Saccharomyces cerevisiae S288C: one gene and its partner. The protein of the gene in region 1 interacts with the protein of each later gene in a pairwise test. Each region holds a gene or a part of one and is shown on either strand. Other genes may lie near its edges.

Region 1 (7,805 bases):
GACTTTCCTTATTGATGCTTGAATCAACTTTGGAAGATTGGGGTTTCTTTTCCTCCCTATCTGATTTTCGTTCAAATGCCTTATCATCCAAAGCGCTGGAGTAACTTCCAGCCCCTTCATCAATATCATTATAACTCAAAACTTTGCTATCAGGCAATCTTGGTGTAAGAATGTTTATTATCTCTTGATTTTCACTTTCGGTAGACTTAGAGGGTGTAAAGCCCCCGGAAAGACTATTAGAAAAACTTTCTCCTGCATGTAGTGATTCACACATTATTCCTGGGCATAGCTCATTCAAAGATGATAAATCTAAGGTATACAGTAAAGTTCCTTCGCCTTGGTCAGTTTCTGAAGTTTGTAGATCGTGAATATTTGGGCTGGCATAGTCAGTTTTGTCGCCACCCATGATAAGAAGCTTCTCATTCTTCATTAAGGTTAAAGAATGTCCAGAGCGTTCTTGAGGTATGCCCTCCTTCATACGGGGAAGCTTATACCATTTTAGCGATAATAAGTTTAAAAAATAGACATCGTTGGAATATGCGTTATGGGTATCCTTACCGCCTAACACACACATTAAATGTTTATACACCACACTAGCATGCTCTTGTATTGGCGGAGGCTTTTCTCCTGTGGTTTTAACTTTAGACCACTCACTTTGTGCTGGATCGTAGCGGTATGTATCATTGCTTATTGTCTTGGGAGTTTCCCCGCCGAATACCCATAATTTGTTGTCATATGCCACCATTGTATGATTTGTTAAAGGAGGAGGCAGGTCGCCGACAGGCTCTAAAAATTCCCAATGAGAATTCGGCCTACGGAATGATGATAAATCAAAGACGACCAGATCGTTAAAATAAGTTTCATCTACTTGTCCGCCAAAAAGATATAGTTTAGTTTGCATAGGGTTGCTAGCAATTATAGAAATTTTATGGCCGTACCTGCCCAACGGCCTACGGCCGATAGGTTGTGGTATGGTCCACTTATAAGAATTAATATTGAAAAGATAAAGATCATCATCCAACAGTCCGTTCTTATTCAGCTTGTGTGTGTCGCCACCAAACACAACATAGGCATTACCGCATATAGTAGAGGCATGTCCCACTCTTGGGGGAGGTGTATTTTGATCAATATCGATTCTCTTGGAAGTAAAGCTCGTACCATCCGCGTTAGCGGCTATTTGCCAGACATCCCCATATACCGATTGATCGTGAAGTCCACCGGTCACAAAAATCCTGTTATCATTCGTAACAATAAATGAGGAAGAGTGTCGATAACGGGGAAACGGAGAGTTTTTTAGTTTGACCCTATTCCAAATATACTTCCCTGTATTCTTACTCTCTGGAGACCAGGGAAGAGCAGTCGACGCGCCTGATATGCCTCTATGCTGGTTTGGAGGTAGCGTAGGTGTTACTATTCGCGTATTGTTTCGATTATCCATAAAAACTATTGGTCTGGGTACACTTTGCGCTGAAATCAGAGAAGGTCCCGTGTCCGTAGGTACCTTATTTGTCAGCTTGAAAGGTACCATAGCTACTTAAGGGGTTGCCTGCCTCATCCAAATCATTTTTTTTTTTTGTTACAACCTATGCTAAAATTCACGTGTACGCATTTCAAAATTGAAAAAAAAAAGAGCAAGCAACACCAAAACCAAACTTCATAATAAATTAGTATCCCAAAAGACCCTTTCACAAGGTAATTACTTCCTTCGAGACTAATTCGGGTTTTGCGAAGCTTTTTTTTTTTTCTTCACAGTTTCTCCCAAGAGAAGAAAAAATTCACAAGCGTGTCATTTCGTGCAGCTTACATCAGCACAATCCATGCACAAAAAAGGTGTAGTAAGTTTTAAACGAGAGAGATGGGCATGACAGTAGGTAGGGCATGCATCTGCAGGAGTGAAGCTGCGATACTCCTCAGCGCAGAGAACACATAAGGGCACATATTCATGATTTTGATATTCTTAGCTATCTGTAAACATATATCAACGTATGTAGTAGTTACAAGAGGTACAATTGTAGAAACTGCCTATATCAATCAAGTATGTCTTTGTGAATTTCGTCCTTGACGAAAATGTGCCTGTTTCCGACCAGTTCCCCGTTGTTGGATGAGAATAACTCGCTTGCGGAATTTCCATCTGCATTTTTCTTTAAAGTCACGTCACCGCTACTAATGTTTCTCATTAACTGAATAAACTTCGACTCAGATAGTTTTGATTCGACAGAGGAGGAAAGAGTAGAAGAGGAGGATGCAGACGAAGGCGGTGGAGTACAGCATTTTACTATATCTGTGGCAATCCTTTGCAGTTCCGACTGATCTTGGTCGAACCATTTCTCGTCCCGACGTGTTATGGGCTCGTACCGCTCTTTTTGAATTTCTCTCTCCAAAACTTGGAACTCCGCGTCGAATTGAAACGCATCCGTTGGGTTGTCCCGGTTTCCTTGGCGTTGCTGTCGAAGCGTCTTTTGAGGTGGGTAAGTGCAACTTGTCTTCCTTATCATACAATTCTTAAAAGGTAAGTGTTGTCTGCTTGAATTCAGGCGCTGCTGTGACTCGTAATTGGAATACAACCTTTTATATTCTGAGCTAAACTCTAGTGAATCGTCAATCTTCATAGACGAGAACTGCGGAACCCAATCACTGGAATCTACAGTGTTGTTTGGAGTAATGAAGGTTAATGGAGAGGGTTGATTTTGATACCTTACATTGTCAATGCCGTCAAAATTACTACCATTATGCAAAAAGTGTTTTTCCACATGCGAGTCTTCAGTGGCATAGTGTGCTGTTAATTCCGTATGGGCCAGCTTGGTGCGTTTTGACGGTATTAAGGAATCATTCTGTATGCGATGCCCTTGTTGGATAATCTTTTCTATCGGGCTTGTATGGCAGACACTGGGCATGGTATTCTAGTTTGGTCTTTATAATTTTTCACCTGTTTCTTTTTGAAACAAAACCAAAGTATGCGGCGTCAACCTTGACTATATTCTCTTAAATATATATCTGCCGTTCTATCAGAGGTTTGAACATTGCCAATGCCTTAAAGAAATATTTAGTCATCCCATCTCCGATTATCGGCACTAGTTTCCATTTTTCCAGCGGAAAGATAAAAAGAAACGGAAAGAAAAAAGGCCGACAAATAAACCAAACGGTATTCGTAGACCGATGACAATACGACTACAATTAAGGTAGCGCGCCTCACTATGATGTGGATCAGCCTCACATTCAGAGCAATTTGTAGTACAGCAAAGTTGCCGATGTCGTCTTCGTGAACCATTGTCAACGCAGATTAAGCACACCCTAAAACTTGAATAATGCAAATTCCATAGCTTAGTTTAATCAAGGCGCCATTATTCCTCAGTTGAAAAGTATATCTAATGGTTAGGATTAGAAATATGTTCATTGCTCATTGTTATGTGTATCATATCGTACAAAAATTATATAAAGAAATAATAATGAAAAAGAGTAAAACAAAGACAAATAGACAAAAATAGAGGATAGAAAAAGAAAAACAACAGATACATAAATAAGTCTTATGACAAAAAAACGATTGTATAAAAATTAAAGTGCATGCCATTTTTACCTCCTTTTGCTTAACTTAAACTTTTCATTGCAATCATTCATTTGTTTTCAGCGGCTAAAGCGGCTACCTCAGCTCTCAACTTTAATCTACCGGACAGGATGTCACCAATCTTGTTGTATTCAGCCCAGTGAACTTCAAAACCCTTTCTTAATTCAACGTTGGTTTCGTTTTCCCAAAGGTTAGCAATTGGCTTGAAGGAAACGTGAGAACCATTAACACAGATAACAGCAGCAGAGTCATCTTCGTGCTCAACAGTTGGTACCTTTTCACCGTGAGTATCGAACTTGAATCTCAAAACCTTAGCGTCAGTGTTTGGAGAAGCTTCATTTTTCTTGTTCCATTGTTCGATAAACTTGATACATTTGACAGCAAATCTGGAAGCGGTGACACGGTCTTTAGAAGATGGAACACCACCTTGTTGAACATGGCCTGGGATAGCAGTTCTAACACCAAACTTACCCTTGCTTGCTTCAGAGATGATGTCAGCCAACAATTGAGTGCTATATACGCTAGAAGCTTGTTCGTTTCTAACCAATAGCTTACCGTTTCTGTTTTCACCTTTGTCGTGACGAAAGTTCTCTTTTAATAGAGTTATATCTTCTCTGATAGAAGCTAAGTCGATCTTCTTTTCTGGAGTGTACACTGAAACAGCACCAGTGATTAAACCAGTGAAAGAAGCGATGTAACCAGAGTGACCACCTTGGACTTCACAGACGAAGACTCTTCTTCTTGTCGCAGAAGCACTCTGTTTGATGTCATCAGTGTAATTGACTAATGCGTTCAAACAGGTATCAACACCAAGTGAGTATTCAGTACCTGGAACGTTGTTAGAAACAGTGGCTGGAATCAAACACATTGGAATGTTAAAGATTGGGTGTTGGGTTCTACCGTCACGCAATTGCTTCAAGGACCTGAAACCTTCAAAACCACCAAGAATAATCAAACCGTCTAGCTTGTTCTTTTGGAAGTAGTAAGCAATGGTACCCAAATCTTCTGAAGCAACAGATCTGTTCGTACCGATTTCGGAACCACCCAAGTTATGCCAGTTTTCGACATCAATCCATGATAGTTCCTTCACTTCACCGGTTTGAATCAATCCACTGAAACCATTCATGATAGCGTATGGTTTATGGCCGTGAGACAAACAGTATAGAGTTGCGGCACGGGTGGCAGCGTTCAAAGCAGCAGATGGGGCACCAACATGGACAATACCAATGTTTAGTCTGTCAGATACTGGCAATAATTCGGAACCATCATCTTTAACGGTAGTGGATAAGAAGTTTTCGTAAAGTTCAATAAATTCTGTGTCTCTTAAAGAAATTGCCTTATCGAAATCTTTGTTTTCAATGGCAGTGGCAACAGATTTAGTCAACTTCACAGATTCAACCAATGGCATTCTAATTATCTTGTTTTCTAAAATACCAATTAATGGAGAAGGAGTTTCAGGGGTAAATTCCAGAACGGCCTTAACAGCATCGACACCTTGTAGAGTAGCTAACCATCTGTCATGAGCAACAGCTGTACCACCTCTTTGAACGTGACCTAGAATGGTTACCTTGGTGTCTAGACCCAATTCAATCAAAGCATCTTTGACGTCATTGGCAGTAACAGGGTTTAATTGATCATCTAAAGCACCTTCAGCGACAATAATTGTGTTATTTCTTCTACCCTTACTTCTGTGTCTTTGGCACACTTCCTTCAATTCGTCCTGCCATTTTCCGTGAGGAACAGCTCTTTCTGGAATAAAAATGTAATCGGCACCGGTAGCAATACCAGCCATCAAGGCCAACCAACCACAATGTCTACCCATAACTTCAACAACAAAGGCACGGGAGTGGGATTTAGCGGTGGCATCAATGTAGTCAACCATTTCACAGATTCTTTCCAAAGCAGAATAAGCACCAATGGTAGAGTCAGTACCAGACATATCATTATCGATGGAACCGACAAGACCAACAATGGACAAATTCTTGTATGGGGCGACTTCTTCTTTAGTGAATCTACCTTCTGCAACCAATTCATCAACCAAAGATGGCCATTCGTGTCTGAAAAGATCAGCACCGGTTAAAGAACCATCACCACCACAAACAACCAAAGCGTCAATACCTTGCGAAATTAAATTGCCTGCAGCTTGTCTACGACCCTCACGCTTTCTGAATTCCATAGAACGAGCAGTACCAATCAAAGTACCACCTTCACTTAACCAACCTCTGACATCTTCCCAAGCCATTTTCTTTAAATATTTACCGCCTCTTAGTAAACCTTCGTAACCTTCGTAAACAGCAAAAACATCACAGCCGAAATGTATACCTGTACGAACAACGGCACGAACAGCGGCATTCATACCTGGAGAATCACCACCAGAAGTCATGACAGCAATCTTCTTCTTCTTTTGAGAAGAGCCCAATGTTTGTCTTAGTAAGTCAGAAGCATCGGAAGAAGCTCTAGAGATGATTTCGTCTTCGGAGGTAGCTTCTAAGAAAGCATCTTTGGAAGTTGGAGCGGAATCGGTTGCATTAGCTAAGCCTGAGAAGGTGATGTTGTTGCCCATTGGATCTTTCAAAAACACTAAGGTATCGGACAATTTTTCGGCTTGTTTTGGGAATTTCTCGACAATCTTGTTCAAATCAGTAGAGAAATAAGTGATTGTGGCGGTTTCGTTGGTGTCGAAAGTTTCATCGATTGGAGCAGACATCACTAAACGAATCTTTAATAGAGCACCTTGACTTTGAGCCTTGTTAGTAGCTTCTTGTTGTGGTATACGGAACCCAGAAGCATCAACCTCACTCAACTTGAAAGATTCTAACCAAACTTCTCTCAAGGAATCTTGGGAAGTCCCTGAAGATAGTAAGCTATTTTCACCATGTTTGAATTTGTTGAAATCTTTCACAGTTGCAAATCCTAGAGTGTGATAAAAGTGAATGGTCTTCTTGAATAAAGCTTCATCATTTGTGATGATAGATCTGAATGCAACACCGTAGCATGAATCTTGAGATTGCATCTTTGATATGATTTTGTTTCAGATTTTTTATATAAAAGCTTTCCCAAATAGTGCTAAAGTGAACTTAGATTTTTTGGTACCTGTTTCGAAATTAAAAATAGAAAAATTTCTCTCCCTATATTGTTATTCTTACTTCAAATTTGTTTATCGTTTATTTACTAGGCGAGACTTGAGTAGACGACAATCCAAATAGAATTAACAGATTTTATTGGTAGAAAGCAATAATATTCTTTAGATGGTTGAGAATAAAGAAGTAAAAAAACCAGTAAAGAGAAAAAGAAAAGGAAGAAAATTAAAGAAAAAGGATGATTACACAAGAAGATAATAAAAAAACTCCTTTATTAAGAGCGGAAGAATTTAATAATGAAGATGGGAATAAGCAAAACAAAAACAAAGAAGGGAAAAAAAATAAAAAATCGTATTTATTTATTTAAAAAATCATGTTGATGACGACAATGGAAAAAAAAAACCGATTTCACTTTCTCATCCTTATATTTTTCAAAGGTTGATGCAAGTCGATCTCAAATCGGATAACGCTGCCAACTGGGAAATTCCGCAATTCCGCAAGAAAAAAAAAAATGTGAAAACGTGATTGCATTTTTTACAGGTCCTAAAGGATTTAGCCCACATATCAAGAGGGTGGCAGTAATTGCACTGATTAAGCATTCGTCAGCATTAGGCGAATGTGTGCATGAATATTGCCAGTGTGCTCGATATTAGAGAGTACATTGAAGAATATTGTACCGGATTATGTACAATAACTTTGTTAATGAGATATTAATTTTCTTTTTTACTAGCCGCTATCCCATGCACGATGCTAAATTTCAAGAAGAAACTGAGATTTAAAAAATTAGTGGAAGCTGATAAAACGGACTATAATGGTGTATGGATTGAGGAATCTCGACATGTTTTTCCATCGTTTTCAACGATGACTGTAACCCGTAGATTGAACCAGGCATGCCAAAGTTAGTTAGATCAGGGTAAAAATTATAGATGAGGTTATATGTATGGTACGTAAAATTTACATGTTTGGATAGTATCATAAAATATAGAAAGGTGGAAGGGATTACCTAAAAATCAGAGTTTATAATATGCAAGGACGGCCTGTTGAGAACAAAAAACTGTAGTATCTATCGCTCACTATATATCTATTAAGTTAGGATTTTCTTGCTGATGCTGCTGTTGTTGCTGTTGTTGATTGATGGGGACAAACGCAGTGGGAACCATAAC
Region 2 (7,996 bases), on another chromosome or scaffold:
TCCGCCAATTTAACGATATCCGCATTCCACGAATACCTTCTCGGTTTAGTCTTCGAGATCTCAATAGCAGCCTGCAGAAACCCCGGCTCATTCCACCAGCCTCCATTCGGTAGCGTGCTCGATGTCAACAAATTTAGTAGCTCACGTGTATACAATTGCTCTGTAGGACCCGGCGTTGCAAATAATGTATTGTCGAAGTCGTATATGTGCAATTTCGTAATCGCATGCTCAGGAACCTCAAAGGGCACGGCCAACTCGCAAGCGCAACTATTCCATTTTCTGAGCACACGGTGATTGCCACATCTGCTGGACATCTCCCCTTTCCTTCGAAATTCTTCAAATTCTTCCATTATACTCGTTTGGGTTATGCAGACAAACAGCACATATGATAATTCATTTTTTTTCTTCCATTATACGCTATAGTAATGTAAGACCTGATCTACGGGTTCGTTTCTTCTATTTCCGTTACCCGCCGTGCACCACAGCATCGCTGCGGTTCCGTCTGCGTGAGTCGTTCTGCGCGAATCACTTCCCGCAGCTGACATCACAGGGGCGGCCTTTCCTGGCTACGATTTTTTAGCGGGAAAGGCACACCCTTTCTTCTCCTTTCGGGTATAAAGTTTCTTCTGTGTGGATTCTGTGGGCCAGCTTCGGTTTTGAAGTTGGAAAAAAATTCTTCATCTTTGTTTTTTTATCGTGGAAAAGGAAGAAAATACTTGATAACCAACAGCAAAGCCGCATGGCTTGGCACTCGATCTTGATGTTGTCCCGTGCCTGGTTGTATAATATTATTATTAATGGCCATTTCGTAATCAAATTTCGGTTTGTTGTTTTTTTCTATTTCTTTTTCATCTTATATATATTAATTCGTTTGCCTTTTCCGTTTCTTTTTGTTTTAGTAATCATAAGTTTACGGCTTAGCAGCAAGGGCAAAGGGACAAAATGAATAGTACTAATAGTACTAATAGTACTACAACAGCTACCAGTACAAACACGTCAACTCAACAAGTCGTTACTTCTTTGGTAAGTAATGGTACTATTTTTGGTGTTTTTGTCATAGCGTTCTTGATTTTGCGTATAAAACTAAAAAGGATTTATGAGCCCAAATCCTCATTCAATCTGATTAATGAAGAAAAAAAGCCAGAACCGCTACCGCAGGGCGTCTGGCAATGGCTGAAGCCGTTATTGAAAAAATCAGACAATTTTGTCATTCAACAAGCCGGTCTGGATGGATATTTCTTTTTGAGGTACCTTTTCATCATTGCAATTTACTGTGCTGTTTCCATGAGTTATATATTCCCTATTTTGTTGTCCATTAACGCCAGTAACGGTAACCATGAAAGCGGATTGAATCAATTGGCCTATCAGAACGTCAAGCACCGTGGTAGATATTTTGCACATGTTTTCTGTGGATGGATTTTCTTTTGGGGGTTCCTTTACATTATTTACAGAGAATTGTATTTTTACACCTCTATGAAGCAAGCTGTACTAGCGTCCCCTCGTTATGCTAAAAAACTATCCTCGAGAACCGTGTTATTCCAGACTGTCCCTAAGCAATACTTAAGTGAAGAAGAGTTTTCTAAGTTGTTTGATGGTGTGAAAAGAGTCTGGATCGCAAGAGGTTCCGGTTCAATTGAAGCAATGGTCAAAGCAAGGGACAATATGGCCATACAATTGGAAGGTGCTGAAACAAAATACCTGAAAGCAGCATTGAAAAAAATTAAGAAGTTAAACAAAAAAAGTCCGCAATTATCTGTCTCTGATAATATTGCTGAATATGTCCCTGACAAGAAAAGACCACATCATAAAATTAACAAGGTTGCTAAATTCTTTTTTGGTAAAAAAGTTGACACCATATCCTACATTAAGGAGGAGTTGCCCAAGTTAAACCAAAAGGTGAAGGCATTACAAGAAGATCATGAAAATTCATCCCCTTTCAACTCCGTTTTTGTGGAGTTTGAATCCCAATATCAGGCCCAAGTTGCCGCTCAGATCACCACATACCATGCTCCTCTTTTCATGACGCCTGTGTATATTGGTATTGAGCCATCCGATGTCGTTTGGTTTAATTTGAGGATGTTCTGGTGGGAAAGATTAGGTAGGGAAGTCAGTGCGGTTTCAGCAATTGTCGCGCTAGTAATATTATGGGCTTTCCCAGTGGCTTTTGTTGGTATGATCTCTAATATTACTTCCTTGACTAATGAAGTTAAATGGTTAAAGTTCATCTATAAATTACCAAAACAACTATTAGGTTTACTGACATCTCTGGCCCCAACTGTGGCATTGGCCGTTTTAATGAGTTTCTTGCCGAAATTTATTAGGGGTATGGCTATCACTCAAGGTGCTCCATCTAAGCAAAATGTGGAATATTTCACTCAACAAGCTTATTTCGCCTTTCAAGTTATCCAAGTCTTTTTAGTTACCACTCTATCCTCCGCCGCCACTTCCACAGTAACGGAAATTGTTAAAGAGCCCACGAAGGCTATGGATCTACTGGCTTCTAATCTGCCAAAAGCTTCTAATTTTTTCATGTCATACGTTATTCTACAAGGTCTGTCCATTTCATCAGGTGCTCTTTTGCAAATTGTTCCACTAATACTCTTTTATGTTTTAGGTGCCTTTTTAGATGGTACCGTTAGGAAGAAATGGAATCGTTTTTGTGGGCTATCCAGTATGCAGTGGGGGACAGCTTTTCCAGTTTATACAAACTTGGCAGTTATTACTTTCTCCTACTCCATCATTTCTCCGTTGATTTTATTATTTGCTGCCGTCGCGTTTTTCCTATTGTATATTGCATATTTATACAATTTGACTTATGTCTATCAGGAATCACCCGACGCAAGGGGTATTTATTATCCAAGAGCTCTTTTCCAAACTATAGTTGGTATCTACATCGGTCAGATATGTCTATTAGGTCTTTTTGCCGTTGGTAAAGGTTGGGGCCCAATCGTTTTACAGGTAATTGGAATTTGTGTTACCGTCCTTATTCATTTACATTTGAGCGCTGCATTTGATCATTTATCAAAGGTTATACCCGTTGATACCATGAAACCGTTAGATGGTGTATCAGATACACCTTCTTTCAAAAATATTTATAAAGGCATAGAAAGTACAAAGGTGAAGAAAAATACTTTTGGTGCAAATATTGACATGGACGGAATCAAAGAATTACCTGAATTTCCAATAAAGAAATATCACAAGAGGAGTGAATCAGTCACTGAGCAACAAGTTGAAAATAGCATATTTAGTGAAAATACATTCGAATATCAATTCAACCCAGCAAATGAAGCCAATGCAGATGGGCACGCTATAAATGCAGAAAATTTAATTGAGGACGTGCCATTATTAGCAGATGGTGATACAATGAAAATTCCTCCGGCTCCATGGTGGAAGAGATTCTTAAAACCTCACATTTACTACTCCTATAAGGCTGTAAAGAGCAGACTGCCAGAAATATATGGTTTGGTTGATCCTGATGAAAGAGTCAATGATTTCGATATCTCTCATGCTTACGATTATCCAGCTGTTAGTGCACAATGCCCCGAATTGTGGATTCCTCGCGATCCTTTTGGATTTTCCAAATTGTTGATTTCAGACGTTTCTGGCGTTGTTGAAATGAACGATGAAAATGCTACCATCGATGAGAATTTGAAATTTACTCTGCGTGACGTACCACCACCATATAATGATGTTAAAGACGAAGCAAATGGTGAAGCAAATGGCGAATTTGACACAGCTAGTAAGGAAAATAATCCATTTGCGGACCCAAAGTATAAGGAAGAAGAGAGTCGTTCGGCAGTCTAAAGGTTAAACATTATCAGAAATTATCTATTCCTATTTGTTTAGCTGTTATCCTCTGATGGTTGAATTGTAATTTTACTAAGAAAAGGAGAGGAAAAGGACGTGCATATATTCTTTTAATACATTTAAAATATGATTCTAATCATTTCTTATATAATAGTGTATAGTCTAATCATTCATCGTGTATAGTAACCCTTTTTGTTTTTTTTTATGCAAAGTTTTTTTGTTTTTGGCAATCTATGAGGTTTGAATATTGGATAAAAGGAACTCCGCACAGTAATACGGAGCAGTCAGCTAATTTAACCAGCACTAATAGGGAGTACATTCAATTGGAAACTTTGATTCGCTTGTATGCGTGAAAAGCAAATTCCCTTCTAGAGAAGTTACTGAAAAACATGAATTTATTACGAATGAATGCTTTAACAAGCAAGGCTAGGTCAATAGAACGGTTAAAACAAACATTGAATATTTTATCCATTCGTAATCATAGACAATTCAGCACCATTCAACAAGGCAGCAAATATACCCTCGGGTTTAAGAAATACTTGACATTATTAAATGGAGAGGTTGGTTCTTTTTTCCATGATGTCCCTTTAGATTTGAATGAACATGAAAAGACCGTAAATATGATTGTTGAAGTACCAAGATGGACAACTGGAAAATTTGAAATATCCAAAGAACTTAGGTTCAATCCGATCGTTCAAGATACGAAGAATGGCAAGCTTAGGTTCGTGAACAATATCTTTCCCTATCACGGCTATATACACAACTATGGTGCTATTCCCCAAACATGGGAAGATCCCACAATTGAACATAAACTGGGGAAGTGTGACGTGGCTTTGAAAGGTGACAATGATCCTCTTGATTGTTGCGAAATCGGTTCGGATGTTTTGGAAATGGGTTCCATTAAAAAGGTCAAGGTATTAGGATCACTCGCTTTAATTGATGATGGAGAATTGGATTGGAAGGTCATAGTGATCGACGTAAATGATCCTTTATCCTCTAAAATAGATGACTTGGAAAAAATTGAGGAGTACTTTCCTGGGATTCTAGATACGACTAGGGAGTGGTTTAGAAAGTATAAAGTTCCAGCAGGGAAGCCATTAAATAGTTTCGCCTTTCATGAACAGTATCAAAATTCCAATAAAACCATCCAAACTATAAAGAAATGTCACAATTCGTGGAAAAACCTCATTTCAGGATCACTCCAGGAGAAGTATGACAACCTGCCTAATACAGAAAGGGCTGGTAATGGTGTCACACTTGAAGATAGTGTTAAACCCCCTTCTCAAATACCGCCTGAGGTGCAAAAATGGTATTACGTTTAATATGAAAATAATACCTTCGAAGAAAATGTTTAGATAAAGGTTCCTTGTATATAATTACGTAATCTCTGCTCTCTCGAATGTTGGCTGCTTGATGTATGTGAACGTTTGGAAAGAAACTTGGGTTTATATTCACTGCTAAAATGACATCCTATTAGAAGTTCGTCTTTCTCCGGTTCGGTTAGTCTACTCACCTAGAAACATCTTGCGAAAATCGTCGTTGGACATCTGCTCTTGTTTGTCAGGAATTTTTTTCTTTACTTGAAGATTTGGTCCTTTTTCCATCATGTTTATACAACTAGGTTTGACGTGTTTCATGCTGTGATTCTGTTGATTGTTATAATATCTTTTCATGTCATTAATAGTACCTGAACGTATCACCTTTCCCTGAAATTGAGATCCATTTAGTATCATTAGCATTTTTGCTGCAAACTTACTATCTCTAAATATAATAATGGCGCCATTGAAGTCGCTAACGAGAAGTATTTTCCTAATATCTTTTTCATTGATGTGTATTTCTTCCTGAAGAAATTGGCAGATTAAGCTTGGTGACACCTTATCTGAAAGTGGAAATAAGCATATTAGTGTTTCTAGTTCTTTGCTGTTACGCGATGCGAGAAGTCTTTTGACTTCGTTTCTTTCTAAGAATGGTTTTTTATCAGCCAAGGAAACGGAAATTTCCCTATTACCTAACAAACTTCTATTCATTTGAAGTGCCCTTTCAGCAGAATCTTTATTTTCAAAAACCATAAATGCACAACAGTTATTGAAACTGTGCTCTTTCTGTCCAGCAGGTATGTTGATTTTTTCAATGGAACCAAATCCCTCAAAAGATTCCCTCAGAAGGTTTTCGTCGAGCAATTCTGTACTTAGGTTTCGTATCATAATCTCTCGCCCCTCTAGTGTGGCAGAATCGGTCCGTTTCGACTTTTCCAGCGGATTGGAAACTTTAGTAACTAAAGTATAACCTTCTATTTTGAGTCCATTCAATTTTTCTACACAATATCTTGCATCCTCTTTAGAAGTAACATCGATGTAAGCGAACCTTCTGCTTGTATTGAATCGTAAACTGGGAAGCCGTATACTGAGTGCAACAACGTTAATATCTTGCAATAGATCTCTAATATTTCTTTGAGTATAACTTGGGGGGAAATTCGTCATCCATAATGTGCATTCTGTTAAATGAGATACTATAATTTCATTCTGACCTACAACTTTGTGTGTTTTGGTTATTGCAGCGAGGGCTCCATCATACCTGGCAAATTCAATACGTGCAAAACGAAAGTTCTTCTTCAGCGAATCCGCAACATCAACGTGTATAATGGGCCCACAATGTTTGAAGTACTTATAGACTTTGTTTTGATTATAGCTCTTAGGCAAATTTTTGACTAATACAGTTGTTAATTCTCTATTTCTTGTTAAAGCTTCGTTCGCCTTCTTAGAAGTTAATCCTGCGGCTGCTGGTGATCCTTCATCCAATGGTCGTTTTGAATCTGGTCTAGCGTGATGTCCATACTCCATTATCACAGATTATGAAGTGAATATGTGGGCTTGTTTATCGCTAATGATTCTCATATAATAAATATAAAGGGTTTTCAATGTTGTAGTAAATCTGCCATTTTGAATAAGTTCCCGCCTGAAAATTTTTTAGCGATGACTTTAAAAAAGACATTGATGCACTCTACAATTCATTGTCATGATGTACATAGAAAATTGAATGATACAAGCGGAAATATTATCAGAATAAATCGGACATGGATAGCAAAGAATATCTGATATCATATGGTTGGAAAGAAGGAGAAGCGTTTAGAGAAGGTGGTTTGAAAAGACCCATACTGGTAAAGCACAAGAGAGATAAGAAGGGATTGGGTAATGCTCCTGGCGGGAATGATGGCGAAGCATGGTGGGAAAGGCTATTTGATGGACATCTGAAGAACCTGGATGTAAGCACTGATTCGAATAATGGCAGTATTAAATTTACTCAAAATGAGGCAGTTGCTACTGCTGTATCGAAAAGTAGCTCACCTCTATACAGGTGGTTTGTAAAGGGAGAAGGGCTGAAAGGAACCATTACTAATCTTGGTAAAAAGGAGGAAGCCAGCTTTGTTGTATCTAGTGCAAGTTCGAGTAAAGGGAAGAAGAGAAGAAGGCGTGATGAAGATGATAACAAGGTCAAGAGAAAAAAATTGAAAAAAGATAAAAAGACTAGTAACGACAGTGAGAGTAAGAAGAAGAAGAAGAAGAAAAGCAAGAAGGAGAGTAAAAAAGGAAAGAAAAGTAAGCATAGCAGCGATGAAGGTGATAAATCGAAGCATAAAAAATCCAAAAAGTCAAAAAAACATAAAAAGGAAGAAAGTTCAGCAAGAAGAGATAGAAAGGAGCATATATGATTATCATAGTCTAATATGTAAATATGTATCCGTAAAAGACATTCTTAAAAGTTTGAATTTATGATCTTTTTATTTTTGTATTTAGTCTTTGTTTTCGAACTTTTATTAATATTAAATTTCAGTAAGTAAATTAAAAGAACATCTTTAAAAGAGTATATTTATTGTTACATATGTTGATCTTAAAAGGAGATGAATATTTCTTAATGGAAAAAGGTAAAAAAAAGATTTTCTCATTCATATGTTCCCATTAGGCAGTTCTATGAGGCAGTCGTCCAACTCGTAATCAGAGATCTCATTCTCATCCTCTAAGTAGCCCTTTACCTGAAAAAATGTTCTTTTGTTTAGAGCATCTTCCGTCTCTTCACGATTTAAGCGTTGTAGCTTGGATTTGTCCTTTGATGTCAACCGTTTATCCTTCAATAACTTTTCCACAGGTATGAAATCTTCTCTTGTTTTACTTAATAGCTCCTTTAAGTATGA

Evidence for each region.
Region 2: the proteins of PEX21 (region 1) and PPA2 interact in a two-hybrid assay, tested with the Saccharomyces cerevisiae proteins (2 studies listed by BioGRID).

Annotation. Positions count from the first base shown.
Region 1 is NC_001139.9:967,160-974,964, forward strand, and holds PEX21 (Pex21p), read right to left. Parts: upstream 2,895-7,805; coding exon 2,028-2,894; downstream 1-2,027. Other genes in the region: KEL2 (Kel2p), read right to left, coding at 1-1,528; PFK1 (6-phosphofructokinase subunit alpha), read right to left, coding at 3,612-6,575; YGR240C-A (uncharacterized protein), read right to left, coding at 7,418-7,618; YAP1802 (Yap1802p), read right to left, coding at 7,716-7,805. UniProt on the Saccharomyces cerevisiae protein: Receptor that mediates peroxisomal import of proteins containing a C-terminal PTS2-type peroxisomal targeting signal via its interaction with PEX7.
Region 2 is NC_001145.3:797,576-805,571, forward strand, and holds PPA2 (inorganic diphosphatase PPA2), read left to right. Parts: upstream 1-4,196; coding exon 4,197-5,129; downstream 5,130-7,996. Other genes in the region: YMR265C (uncharacterized protein), read right to left, coding at 1-350; RSN1 (Rsn1p), read left to right, coding at 943-3,804; U6 snRNP complex subunit PRP24, read right to left, coding at 5,313-6,647; TMA23 (Tma23p), read left to right, coding at 6,881-7,516; RRN9 (Rrn9p), read right to left, coding at 7,751-7,996. UniProt on the Saccharomyces cerevisiae protein: Involved in energy production. Its activity is stimulated by uncouplers of ATP synthesis.